Yarrowia lipolytica: one gene and its partner. The protein of the gene in region 1 purifies or fractionates together with the protein of each later gene. This does not show direct contact. Links are inferred from orthologs where the notes say so. Each region holds a gene or a part of one and is shown in the gene's direction. Other genes may lie near its edges.

What was found. The genes of interacting proteins can lie anywhere in the genome.
Region 2: the proteins of YALI1_D04772g (region 1) and YALI1_B18811g purify together in Saccharomyces cerevisiae (affinity purification with mass spectrometry, with the first as the bait; 3 studies listed by BioGRID). This does not show direct contact. The link is inferred for Yarrowia lipolytica from reciprocal best matches to the Saccharomyces cerevisiae genes RPN10 and PRE6.

Annotation. Positions count from the first base shown.
Region 1 is NC_090773.1:473,684-481,616, reverse strand, and holds YALI1_D04772g (uncharacterized protein), read left to right. Parts: upstream 1-3,449; coding exon 3,450-3,457; intron 3,458-3,506; coding exon 3,507-3,703; intron 3,704-3,748; coding exon 3,749-4,327; intron 4,328-4,391; coding exon 4,392-4,468; downstream 4,469-7,933. Other genes in the region: YALI1_D04814g (uncharacterized protein), read right to left, coding at 1-103, 147-171; YALI1_D04789g (uncharacterized protein), read right to left, coding at 2,215-2,658; YALI1_D04725g (uncharacterized protein), read right to left, coding at 7,177-7,933. UniProt on the Saccharomyces cerevisiae protein: Multiubiquitin binding protein.
Region 2 is NC_090771.1:1,879,932-1,884,909, reverse strand, and holds YALI1_B18811g (uncharacterized protein), read left to right. Parts: upstream 1-3,447; coding exon 3,448-3,482; intron 3,483-3,538; coding exon 3,539-3,558; intron 3,559-3,783; coding exon 3,784-4,478; downstream 4,479-4,978. Other genes in the region: YALI1_B18845g (uncharacterized protein), read left to right, coding at 330-2,939. UniProt on the Saccharomyces cerevisiae protein: The proteasome degrades poly-ubiquitinated proteins in the cytoplasm and in the nucleus. It is essential for the regulated turnover of proteins and for the removal of misfolded proteins.

The DNA of each region.
Region 1 (7,933 bases):
TCTTTATCCGTGGCCTTTTGGGCGAAATCATTCCGATTCACCGTTTTTTCGAGCTGTTTGAGCCCCTCCTCTCGCTCCTTGACCTTGGTCGACTGCACCCGGGCTGTGTTAATGTTGGTAGAAAAAAGTGCGCCGGAAATACTCACTTATAACCACAGCTAGACCCTCCATCTTGTTGTAGATGCCTGTCGAATGTGTTACCAGTGCCTCTAAGGTTGATGATATGCATGTAGGTGTATATTTTGAGTTTGTCAGTGGATAAGGGGTGTCTTGTAAATAACGTGATTTGTGTGAGCTATGAAGTACAAGGAGATATTATCATGTCAACAAACGTTATATATCCTAGGCTTTTAGATATCACTCTGATCTGAGGGCTTTTAGTAGAGATTGAGTCGTATCTCTTGCCATGTAAATTTTACTTGACAAATCTAAGTAAAGTTACTGTTACTTGACAACTTAAATTTTATGTTATTATAAATAAAATAAAAATTGAAACTTGACGCAAAATATAGCAATCGACCAGACAAGCAACACTAGAGCAAAAAGTGCTGGAGCAAAAAGCTGGAGAAAAAGAATCGCAAGAGACTCTGAACTCCGATACGGGGAATCGAACCCCGGTCTCCACGGTTCTCATTATGAGAGCGTGATGTGATAGCCCCTACACTATATCGGAAATGGTAGCGTTAATAGCCCGACGTGGGGCTTGAACCCACAGCCTTGAGATTACTTACTAATAAGAGTCTCACGCTCTACCGATTGAGCTAGCCAGGCAATTGCTGAAAAACTGGTTATTTTAACCTCCGCGATTGTAGCTACAAACGTCACGTGATCTAAAGTAAATTTGTTAGACGCTAAGTATTATTTGTTTACGTGATGTAATCTGGTTTGAAAGGGCGGTAATATTCCATAATGAAGCAGATTGAAAAGTGTATGATAAATGTGGGGGAGAGAAAAAGGCTCTTGTACTTGTAGCTCTTATTTTAGTGTACTTGTACTTGTTTTTCAAGTCAGAATATCTTTCTGTGAGTTTGCAAATGCACCTATAAGTAAACGCTTGCAGAAGAATTCCCTCAAATCTGATTGAAGTAAATGGGAATAAATAATCGGACTATGAATATGACTGGACACATATGTATTGAGGTTCTGGTATTTAACTATCACCAGGCAATTTTCTCATTGTCTTTCTAGGGACATTCTTACTATCCACCCTACCGTGGCGTAAGACTCCTCTGTTGGTTGATACTAGAAGCCCAGCACTGCATTAAACTTCTACTTGTTAATAATTCATTCCATCATATATATTCCCCTGGTACCCAGTCTCGTTAGAATTCTTCTTCCCGTTGATGACTACAGACAATGCTTCTGCCGCGGAGTCTTCCTGAATGACTGTCTACAGCCATTGTATGTAATTCATCAAAAGGGACTATCCAGCATCAAGCTCGATTACTGTCAATGGTGAGCAAGAGTAGCCTCCTGATTCACAATCTAGGACATATACTCAAAGCTCCGCCGTGAATGCCGTCTATTGTCGTACAAATTCGATATGTCAGTGGCTTCATACTGACAATTTTTGACTCTGCCAATTAGCTAGTATTCTTAATCGCTTGTCTGGCCTTCAATGCCGTACTTCTAGTAGCACGTGTCCTCGGTTCTGGCTTTTCGATCTTGGCTCTAGCGGACGCTGTTGACTGGGTAGCTGTAGATCCAGTTCGGCCCACTGCTGGCTTAGTAGTAGGTCTGACTTTGACAGGAGACGAGGTGGCCGGTCGCATTGGTGAACGCAGCGACTTGCCAGGGGATCGAATTGGCGACTTTGTGTTAAGCCGAGCGTCCAAATCCATGGGTGTGGTCATGCTGGGTTAGTTAATTTAATGTAGTGAATGGCCGTAAGTCACGAGGAGACAACAACTTCTCAAGTTGAGTTCAGAGGAAGCACTGGCTGAATGTACAAATACTGTACCTGTAGACAGATTGTGCAGCTGAGTAGTGATACATACAAACTGACATGTCAGAAACTCTAGACGTGTAAATATCATGTCAACCGCTTGTAGAAGCACTGTAGGTATCAACTTCCTCCTTCTTGAGTGACTTTCCCATTTATTTATTCCCAATTTCTTCTGATTTGACATCTTCATAATCAGACAAAGTCAGAAAAAACCAGGTATAATGACAATCCGCATAAAACTCCACCTTCTCCACCTTTCCTAACCACACTCACTCATGGGGAATTGTGAACTTGGGAATGTTGTGGAATCCCTGGCCGAAATTCAACTTGTTTGGCTTTCTGTCCTTGAGGGCTCCATCCTGCAGAGCTTGGACCTCCCGTAAAGTCTTGTTCCAGTACCGTTTGGGCACGCGGGTCTTTCTGATTTCAATTTTGGCGCGAACCGCCTGCGCAGCAAATTGATATTGCGACTTGAGTCGCTCGATTCTGTTGGTGACTGTGTTAATACCGAGTCTGTTTGTATGTTGTGCCCTCTGAATGGAGTCCCTATACTCACGTTCGAGCTGTAGGTTTTCAATGAGGTCGTTTTTCTGGACCTCAGTCAGCGGCTTGCGGGCCATGTTGCTAGGAAACTGGTCCATTTCCGTGGGCATAGTGAAAGTGGAAAATGTCGGTGATGTGTGTTGAGTGCTGTGTGCTGGTGAAGTTGTCATGCCGATCCTCTGTTTATCTACGTTGCCCCGGTTACGCTGGGATATATGATTAAGGTTATAATATCAAAACTTTATGTTGATTAGTCAGCAAATGAGGTGAGAAGATGAAAGGGCTTGGTTTGTGGAAGATTGGTTCCGTTGGAAAGAAGCAAAAAATTGAGAAACGAGTGACTCAATCAGAATAAGCTGACAAAGACAATCATTTTGATATACCAAAGTCTCTATATTGTATTTACCGACCGCATTTTACGAGGGAGATCTGATGATAATGGTCCCATTAGCTCAATATGACAATAGGGACATCATTGCTATGCGCCACAAGTGGTCCAGATGACTGTTGAGTAAGAAGATATAAAAAAAAACATAATCAAAATAGGAAACAATCAGCAGCTATGACTCTCAAATATCAAATTGCTCCAGTCTAGGACAACTTTTTTGAAGATTCTGTCTCCAACTAAAGCTAACTAATTAAACTCAGTATTGTTTAGGGCAACAGTTGAGCATTGCTACCCTCAATACTCTCCCATAACTCGACTTCCAGTACTCCGATCGGGTTTTTAAAAGAAGTAACTAATATATCCAACTTTTCCCCAAAGATAGTGCAAATTCCGCTCTCACCAGCCCAAATCCGCCACACTTGATATGGTGGCAAATCGCCTACTGTCCAAACTCTATCACCGCTGACGTCAGCACTCTGTCCCAACCACTATAACCATTGCCACAGATCACCACTCTACACACCACACAACAAGACACAACAGAAGCGCATCACGATGGTTTTGGAAGCAACAATGATAGTGTGAGTATTACCGACGGCCAATGATGTTATCCACACCCCGCTAACACAGAATGGACAACTCCGAGTTCATGCGAAACGGAGACTACACCCCCAACCGGTTCGATGCCCAGGTGGACTGTGTCAACCAGCTCTTCACCATCAAGACCAACCGCAACCCTGAGAGCGCAGTGGGTCTGATGAGCATGGGCGGCCGAGGTCCTGAGGTGCTTGCCACCCTCACCACAGACCACGGCAAGATTCTGGCCGGTATCCACGACACTCATATCACCGGTGCTCCCCACCTCACCACAGGCATTCAGGTGGCCGCGCTGGCTCTCAAACACAGACTCAACAAGCTGCAGCGGCAACGGGTGATTGTGTTTGTGGGATCGCCGGTCGAGGAGGACGTCAAGGCACTGGTCAAGCTTGCCAAGAAGATGAAGAAGAACAGCGTGGCGGTGGACTTTGTCAATTTCGGCGAGGAGGGCGAAAACACAGAGAAGCTGGAAAAGTTCATCGAGGCCGTCAACTCAGGCGACAACTCTCACCTGGTCACCATCCCCCCTGGCCCTCATCTGCTGTCAGACATTCTGCGCAACTCTCCCATCATCAAGGAAGACGACGACGGAATGGATACTTCGGGCATGGGCGGCGCTCCTGGCGGCTCCAACGACGCGGACTTTGAGTTTGGTGTGGACCCCAGCGTGGATCCCGAGCTGGCTCTGGCGCTGCGAATGTCGCTGGAGGACGAAAAGGCCCGACTGGAGAAGGAGAAGGAGCAGCCCGAGAAGCTGGATTCGGTTAAGGAAGAGGACGTGAAGAAGGAAGATGAGGATGCAAGTGGAGAGGACAAGGGTAAGGACAAGAAGGATGACGACAAGATGGATACGAGTGCGTAATCGAAGCACGCTTGAAATATGTGAAGCACAATTGAGAGGCGACTAGGGCGACTGAGCGCGATGCGACGAAGGAATTGGTAGACACAGATCATGTGTTATAATCACAAGATCGACTTCGTCCACCCTGCACTAATCCATACGCACCTTAGAAGTGCAGCCCTAGGATAGGTAGGAATCAATGATATATGAATGCAAGTTCTCTGAGTGCAAGCACGAGGGGAATTGAGGTGGTGTGGTGTAGCTGTGAACATGTAGATGCTGTGTATCTGAGCTACTCTGGTTGTTTTATCGTGGTTGTGATGGATTGGATAATTAGCTTGCTCATTAAGGGATGCGGGGCTGTACCTTATCTGCTGACACCGTTGGCGATTCTCGATGGCAGGAATATAATCATGCTCTTCCCAGTTCTGTCCGAGGTTTATATGAGTTATTGTATGTAGAATCCATTAAACATGTGTTTGAGGAGGAAATGTCCTCTATCAGAAGAAAATTGTAGTTATGCGTACCACCAAGAACATCAATGGATAGCCTTTGACGGATCAATTGATGACCTGAGATCTTCATATAGAAAGAGCTATTTGGATTAACATGAGGTGGGCCCAAATGCCGCTGTTGTCTCTTCTGTCAACTACAAGTACCAGTACACAAGAGTAGGATCAGAGCTTTGATCTGTACTTGTACAAGTAGTAAGAGGGAGGGGATTGTGATTCATACTAACAATATGGCTTTCTATACTCACTAATTAAGTCTCCATTCTTGTGCCATAGCTGGAATCTTTTATATGAATCCCCAGAGACTATTTCTTCTACTAATTGATCAGAAGAGGGATTGTTCTAACAAAGGTCCAAAGCGGAGAGAGTGACAGATGTTGGTCAGGTCGTGCACTCGAGATTGATGTTGTTCAATACAACGCTAGAACTATGGTTTTATTGCCCTTTCAAAGTCCTCTATGGTTCATCCTACAGTACAAGTACAGTACAGCCGATGGTAACACTTGGATACACTGCACGATGCTCAGTCAGCTGGCAGTACAGTAGATACAATTGAAATAACTATACTACATTCTCCAGAGTATCAACACTAGTGCAACAGCAATGTCTGCCTATAATGTAATACAGTAGTACACAGTATGGTGCAGTAGCTCTACGAGTGCTCGTGTATACAATACTGTACCAAACAGCAACCTCTGGCTCAACAGGTGACTGATAAAAACAAGCAAAAGATCATGGAGCTCGGCAATTGACTCCGCCATGAAGCGCTTATATTGGTTTCAGGGTCGCTTACCGTCTCTAATTATAAAAAATACATATATTAGTCAAAGCTACATGAAAGCACGCCTAGATCCTTAGACGCGTTTCAGCTGAAGGAAGACAGCCACCTAAGCATCTACTTGTTCAAAAGTTGGAATCGCTATTTCTGTGACGTCAATCGACGGCAACCAAACAGCGAAAGTCTCCGTGGAATCCAGACAGTCGTTTCTTTCAGTCATTGGTCCAGGCTTTTCTTTTGCCAACTCTCTGGCTGTAAAAGGACCGTTCGTGGGCCTCTTTTGGATACAAAGAAACGCCAAGACCTTAGAATTACAGTGCGTGGGAAGCTAGTAGTCTCAGACCTACACTCAGTAGGTTTCATCCTGGAATGTGTACAAGGAACTACAGGTTGACCTGATGGCCCCTTGAGGGATAGTGTTGTTTTGTGCCTTGTGGGAGGTCCAACTTATCAGTTGTCTGTCGACGTTAGCATCTCTTTCGTCTCTCCCTAATTCCTGTGATCATCAATGCCGGGATCTGCGTATGGGCTGTAGGCGCATCAGATAACCCATCAGATTATATTTGTGCACACGAACTCTAGGTCGCTCGGGAGCGCATCAGATAATTTCGAACCTTGGTGCAAGCGTAGATTTACGAAGCAACCCTTAAGACCAGGGTAACAGTGTGGAATGTGTGTAGAAATTCCAGCATGAGTACGGCGTACTTACCCCTTACATGGTAGCTACTGTAGACAGTGGAATGCCAAATCTCAGGGACCTTGGCTAGAAGATGTCAGACCACTCGGTTTGTACGAACGGCACCCCAAGTTTGGTAGCATATCAATAAGTGTCGATCATGTCTATCATCTACAGTAATGTCTCTTCCGGTTACCGGAAAGGCAGAGACAGCCCCGTCGGTAATGGCCACAGAAAATCATTAGTTGGTGTGTAGCTAGTTACACTTGTGCTTAATGGTGCTCTACTGTTCATGACCCTCACGTCCAGTACGAGTAGTCGCAACATTTCGGGAACAATCCTACTTGTAGTTTACATGGCAGGCACCCATTCGTACGGCACACCCTGGTCCACCGGTCTAGCTCAACTGTTTCGATAGTTCAAATTTATGATATCCAGAGGTACAGTATAATTAGCTTGGATGAAAAAGTGAGGCGTTATTTCGTCTTCATTAGGGATAGAGGCAATAATCTCAAAAAATCTGCCCAGTAAATCCAAAAGCACATGCCAGTACCAACCATTTGAATACGAGAAGTCAACAAGAACAAGCGAATACAGCTCTACACAGACCTGTGATAGGACACTGCTCTCCTCAAAATAACCTTGGCATCGGCTGCACAGACTAATTTGGAGGCGTTTTGAAAATCTTGCTTGCGAGTCATTTTTTCGCCAAGAACCATGCAGCTGCAAAATTATCTGATCGGTAATTTCTTTGTCTGGACCGTGCGTCTCTTTGTTGTGGTATGCAACTGGGCAAACTCTGATGGAATTGATAACTCGAACCACGCAACTGTACCGCTCAAAAGAGGCCGTTGAGCGGAATATATAAACAGGACAGCTTTCCCTGAATGGCCCTCTCATAAACCACAAACCTCAAACACTCGTTTATTACTCTCGTTAACATGAAGTGGTCTACTACAACCCTCCTCAGCCTGTGCCTGGCCTCCTCGGCCGTGGCTGTGGCCGTCCCCTTTGCCCAGGACGGCGCAACCTACCAGTGCCATGCCACTTGTGGTAACATGATTCTGGATGCCCGAAAGTGCGCCGACGGTGACTCCTGGAACAGAGACTGTCTGTGTGACAACGGCACTCCCTTTGAGCAGGCCCGAGACCCTTGTCTGGAGTGTGGCTCCACTCTGTGGAACGATTACGGCAAGTACCTTGAGCCTCCTCTTGCCTTCTGCGGCTTCCCCACCAAGCCCGTCGATCCTAACGCTGCCTCTTCTTCTGCCGCCCCTGAGTCTTCTGCTGCTCCCGAGACTTCTTCTGCTGCTCCCGAGACTTCTTCTGCTGCTCCCGAGACTTCTTCCGCTGCTCCCGAGACTTCTTCTGCTGCTCCCGAGTCTTCCGCTGCTCCCGAGACCTCCGCAGAGGCCACCCCTGCTACTACCGAGCCTACCTCTGCTTCTCCTGCCTCTTCTGCCGCTTCTGCCACTCCCACTTATGACCCCTGCCACCCCATTTGCGGCAACCTGATTCTCTCTGCTCGACGATGTGCCGACGGAGATTCGTGGAACAAGGACTGTCTGTGTAACGAGGGAACCAACTTCCACGACAATGCACCCAACTGTCTTGCTTGTGGAGCCGGTATCTGGCCTCAGTACGGTCAGTACC
Region 2 (4,978 bases), on another chromosome or scaffold:
TGCACGCAAGACTGTGGAATACAGCAGGTCCAGTCTTTAGTAGAACTCCGAACCAACCATCGCCCTGATCCGCTGAAAGGGTTTGAGCGATATATTATAGGAGCTTAGCGTTCTTTGATCCCAAGGCCACGGCGGAGTTAGTGTTTCCGAGTCGCCGTATTGTGCGACATTGAGTTGGGCGATATGCAATATGGGCTGCGAGGGACCCAAAAGGACAGGAACAAAGTATCGGCACAATGAAGACTGGAGGTTGTAAATCGTATATTAAACACAGAGGTCTTGCATATCTCATCTCATCGCTTCTAACAGTCATCTGAATAACTTTCAAAATGCTCGCATTCGTCCTACTGCTGACGATGCTGCTCGCAGCAGCGCTTGCTGACCCGTTCTCAGATAAAGACGCTTACAAACACAGCCCTCCATACTACCCTGCTCCGGAGATTGGCAGAGTTCCCACCGACCTGCGATGGAGAGCTGCCTTGAAGGTGGCCCAGGGTATGGTCGCTAACATGACACTGCTTGAGAAGGTGAACATCACCACCGGTACGGGCTGGGAGATGGGTCCTTGTGTTGGAAACACTGGTACCGTCGAACGACTGGGTATAAAATCGCTGTGCCTTCAAGACGGCCCTCTTGGGATTCGATTTGCTGACCTCATTACCACATTCCCTGCTGGTATCACTATTGCCTCTACCTTCTCTCGACAGCTGGTTAGAGAGCGAGGTGCTGCTATGGGACGGGAGAATAGACGCAAGGGAGTGGATATCACTCTCAGCCCTGTGGTTGGACCACTGGGAAGACATGCTAACGGAGGTCGAATCTGGGAGGGCTTCTCTGCTGACCCCTACCTTGCTGGAAAGCTCGCCGCCGAGGCCGTGACAGGTATACAGGGCCAGAACGTCATGGCTGTGGTAAAGCATATGGTTGGAAACGAGCAGGAACATTTTCGACAACTTGGCGAGTGGCAGGGATTCGGATTCAAGGATCTGAAGCAGCCCCTCTCTTCAAACATCGACGACCGAACTCTTAACGAAGCGTACCTTTGGCCCTTTGCTGATGCTGTTCGAGCCAATGTTGGATCTGTCATGTGTTCCTATCAGCAGATCAATGGCTCTCAGGGTTGTCAAAACGCCCACATTCTGAACGGTAAGCTCAAGGAGGAAATGGGTTTCCAGGGCTTTGTCATGTCCGACTGGCTTGCCCAGCGAAGTGGCGTGGCGTCTGTTCTTGCTGGTCTCGATATGAGCATGCCTGGAGACGGTCTTGTCTGGGCGGACGGTGTTCCGCTCATGGGATACGAGTTGACCAGGAGTGTGCTGAATGGAACCATTGATGAAAGCCGAGTGGACGACATGGTTACCCGAATCCTTACCCCCATACTGTATCTCTCAATTACTCCGACCGACCCCAACTTCAGCTCTTGGACCAACGACACTACTAGCTACAAGTACTACGGAGCCAAGGCTGGTGGAAACGTCACTGTTAACCGACATATTGATGTGAGAGACCAGTACACTACCAAGGCTGCTCTTGATGGAGCAAACGCTGCGCTTGTTCTTCTCAAGAATGAGAAGAAGACTCTTCCTCTGAACCCTACCAATATTGGAAACCTCAACATTTTCGGTATTGGTTCTAAAACCGGCCCACTTGGAGCTGTCTGTGGAGAAAATATGCAGTGTAGTGATGGCGCCCTTATTGAGGGATGGGGGTCCGGTTCCGTCTACCCTACCGATTATCAATCTCCTTACGACGCCATTAAGGAGAGAGCCTCCAAGGACAACATCACCATCGGAGGCACTACGCAATCTTGGGGTAACCTGTCGAACGTTGAGATCCTTTCAGCTGCTGCCGACGCCAGTGTCGTCTTTGTTCTTTCCGACTCCGGTGAGAGTACTGGTATTGTTGACGGCAACATTGGGGATCGAAACAACTTGACGCTGTGGCACAATGGAGACGAGGTTGTCAAGGCTGTGGCATCTAAGAACCCCAACACTATCGTTGTTGTTACCACTGTCGGCCCTGTGAACCTCGAAAAGTGGATCGACAACCCAAACGTCACTGCCGTGCTTCTCACTGGACCCGCTGGTGACTTTGGAGGAAGAGCTGCAGCCTCTATTCTCTTCGGCGACATCGCCCCTTCAGGAAAACTCCCTTTCACTATTGCCAAGAATGACACCGACTACATTCCTCTTACTACTAAGATCCCTGAAGACGGCCTTCCTCAAGACTATTTCACTGAGGGTACTCTTTTGGACTACAAACGGTTCGACGAGAACCAGGTGACTCCTAGGTTTGAATTTGGCTACGGTCTGTCTTACTCTAACATTACGGTGGAGAATCTCGAAGCCCGGTATGCTTTCCCTAGCATTCCTGAGTTCTTGCCCACTCCCTTTGCCCCTTCGAACCCCAACAAGCCTAAGAACGCATTTACTCCTCACGCCAATGAGTCCGTCTTCCCCAGTGACATTGATCCTTTGAACAAGTACGTCTATCCATACCTGAACGATACCTCGGAGATCTTCTCTAACGAGACCCATTATCCCTATCCTGAGGGGTACTCCAGTGAGCAGTCCAACAGTACCAACATTAACGGCGGGGCTGTCGGAGGCAACCCTGCTCTGTGGCTCTCTGCAGTCTACATTGTCCACAGCGTGTCTAACTATGGTCCCTATGATACTGGAGTGGTCACCCAGATGTACATTGCCTTCCCTCAGGATAACGACGATCTTAAAACCGCTCCTAGACAGCTTCGAGGATTCGAACGGTCCGAGCTCAAGGTGGGAGAACGGCAGGGAATTCTATACGATGTTCAATGGCGAGATCTCGCGGTCTGGGATGTCAAACTTCAGAGCTGGCGGGTCCAACGAGGAGAGTACAAGGTTTACGTAGGCCACAGTTCGCGAGACTTTGTTCTGACCACCAGCTTCACTCTCAAGTAGGATTCCACTTGAGAGTGAATCACTTACATTATTAACCCTTCAGCTTCTTATTTAGATTCCTTTAGATTCCTTTAGATTCCTTTAGATTCCTTTAGATTCATTAATTAATTCATTAATTGTACTGGTATGTGTACAGTAGCCGAAGTGTATAATTATTTGTAAATTATTGAGGTGATGGAGATTGAATGTCGCCTGAAATGTATACAGACAGCTCCATGTAACAGAACTACACAATTCACCTAAATACATAAATGAGACCTGCCGAGATGAATTGCTTTAATAAGTATAAACATTTTATTGTTTACTCTCTTGAATACTCTCTCCACAGTACAAGTGAACTGGTGGCTATTTTCTGCTTCCAACACTTGAACCTTGCCTCTCTAACTTAGTTGACGATCATGTCCACTATTACTGTAATCAATAGTATGCAGGCTGTATCATCACACATTGAGTTCGCCACCACCAACCACTTCAGCATCAGTCCCTCACCACACATACACAAATCACAATGAGCGGCTACGACAGAGCACTTTCAGTATTCAGGTGAGTATTTGCACACGAAAGTGCCACACACAATTATCGATTGATTACTAACACAGTCCCGACGGACACGTTTTCCGTAAGTTGAACAAGACATCCAGGTGGCACTAACGTTCACAGAGGTGGCAACAGTCACAATCTCGCCCCGACGTCAGCGTCGGTACGACAGGATAGTTGGGTTTCGTTGGATCTGTCCACGTCTACTGCCATTGCGATTCTTGCATCTGTTGTAAGGATGGCGATGGACGGTGGCGATAGACAGACACCCCAACGCCCAACCAGCAAGAGACAATACTAACAACAGAGGTGGAGTACGCCTTGGAGGCTGTTAAGAGAGGAACCGCAGCCGTCGGTGTCAAGGGCAAGGATGTCGTCATTCTGGGATGCGAGAAGCGGTCTGCTCTCAAGCTCCAGGACCCTCGAATCACCCCCTCCAAGATCTGCAAGTTGGACACTCATGTGTCTCTGGCCTTTGCCGGTCTGAACGCCGACGCCCGAATCCTCGTCGACAAGGCCCGAGTTGAGGCTCAGTCTCACCGACTCACAGTTGAAGACCCCGTTTCCGTCGAGTACATCTCCCGATACATTGCTGGTGTTCAGCAGCGATACACCCAGTCAGGTGGTGTACGACCATTCGGTATTTCTACTCTGATTGTTGGATTCGACCCCAACGACAAGGTGCCCAAGCTGTACCAGACAGAGCCCTCTGGAATCTACAACGCGTGGAAAGCCAACGCCATCGGTAAGAGCTCCAAGACTGTACGAGATTTCCTGGAGAAGAACTACGAGGAGGATATGGACAAAGCCGCCACCATTCGGCTGGCTATCAAGAGTCTGCTGGAGGTTGTCCAGACCGGAGCCAAGAACATTGAGATTGCCATCTTGTCTGCCGACAACCCTACCGAGGTTCTGAGCACGGAAACCATTGCTGAGTACGTTGCTGAGATTGAGGAAGAAAAGGAGGCAGAGGCCAAGAAACAGAAGCCTAGCCGGGATTAGGGGGTGCCGGTGTATATGTAGTCAGATGATGTAGTCATAGACCTAATGATGATGTAAATGTTTTAATTTGCGACAAGATGCGTTGAGCGCACCAGTAGAAACAACTATATAATGATACATTGCTAATGATTTAGACGGGTAATTGGATTATCTACGATACTTGCACTGTTTATATTGATTGCTTTTTTTGGAGCTTCAACAGTTGATCTGATTACTATAATTACAAGTATAAACCATCACTCATATTTGTCTAACCATTGTCTAACTAAACTTCTGTCATTCCTCACAAAGAGATACAAGTACAAGTACTTCACACCCATGAAATAGGAGATATTACACACGTTATCAATATATAGAACAGTTAATCATACCCGGTGTTTTAACAACTCCACTTAAATCCTACCTCCAATCCTCTCCCCTCCCCCTCCTATCACTGTCGTGTGATTACCCATCGGTGTATGACGGCGTGCAGAAATGTGAAATTTAAACTCATCACCAAC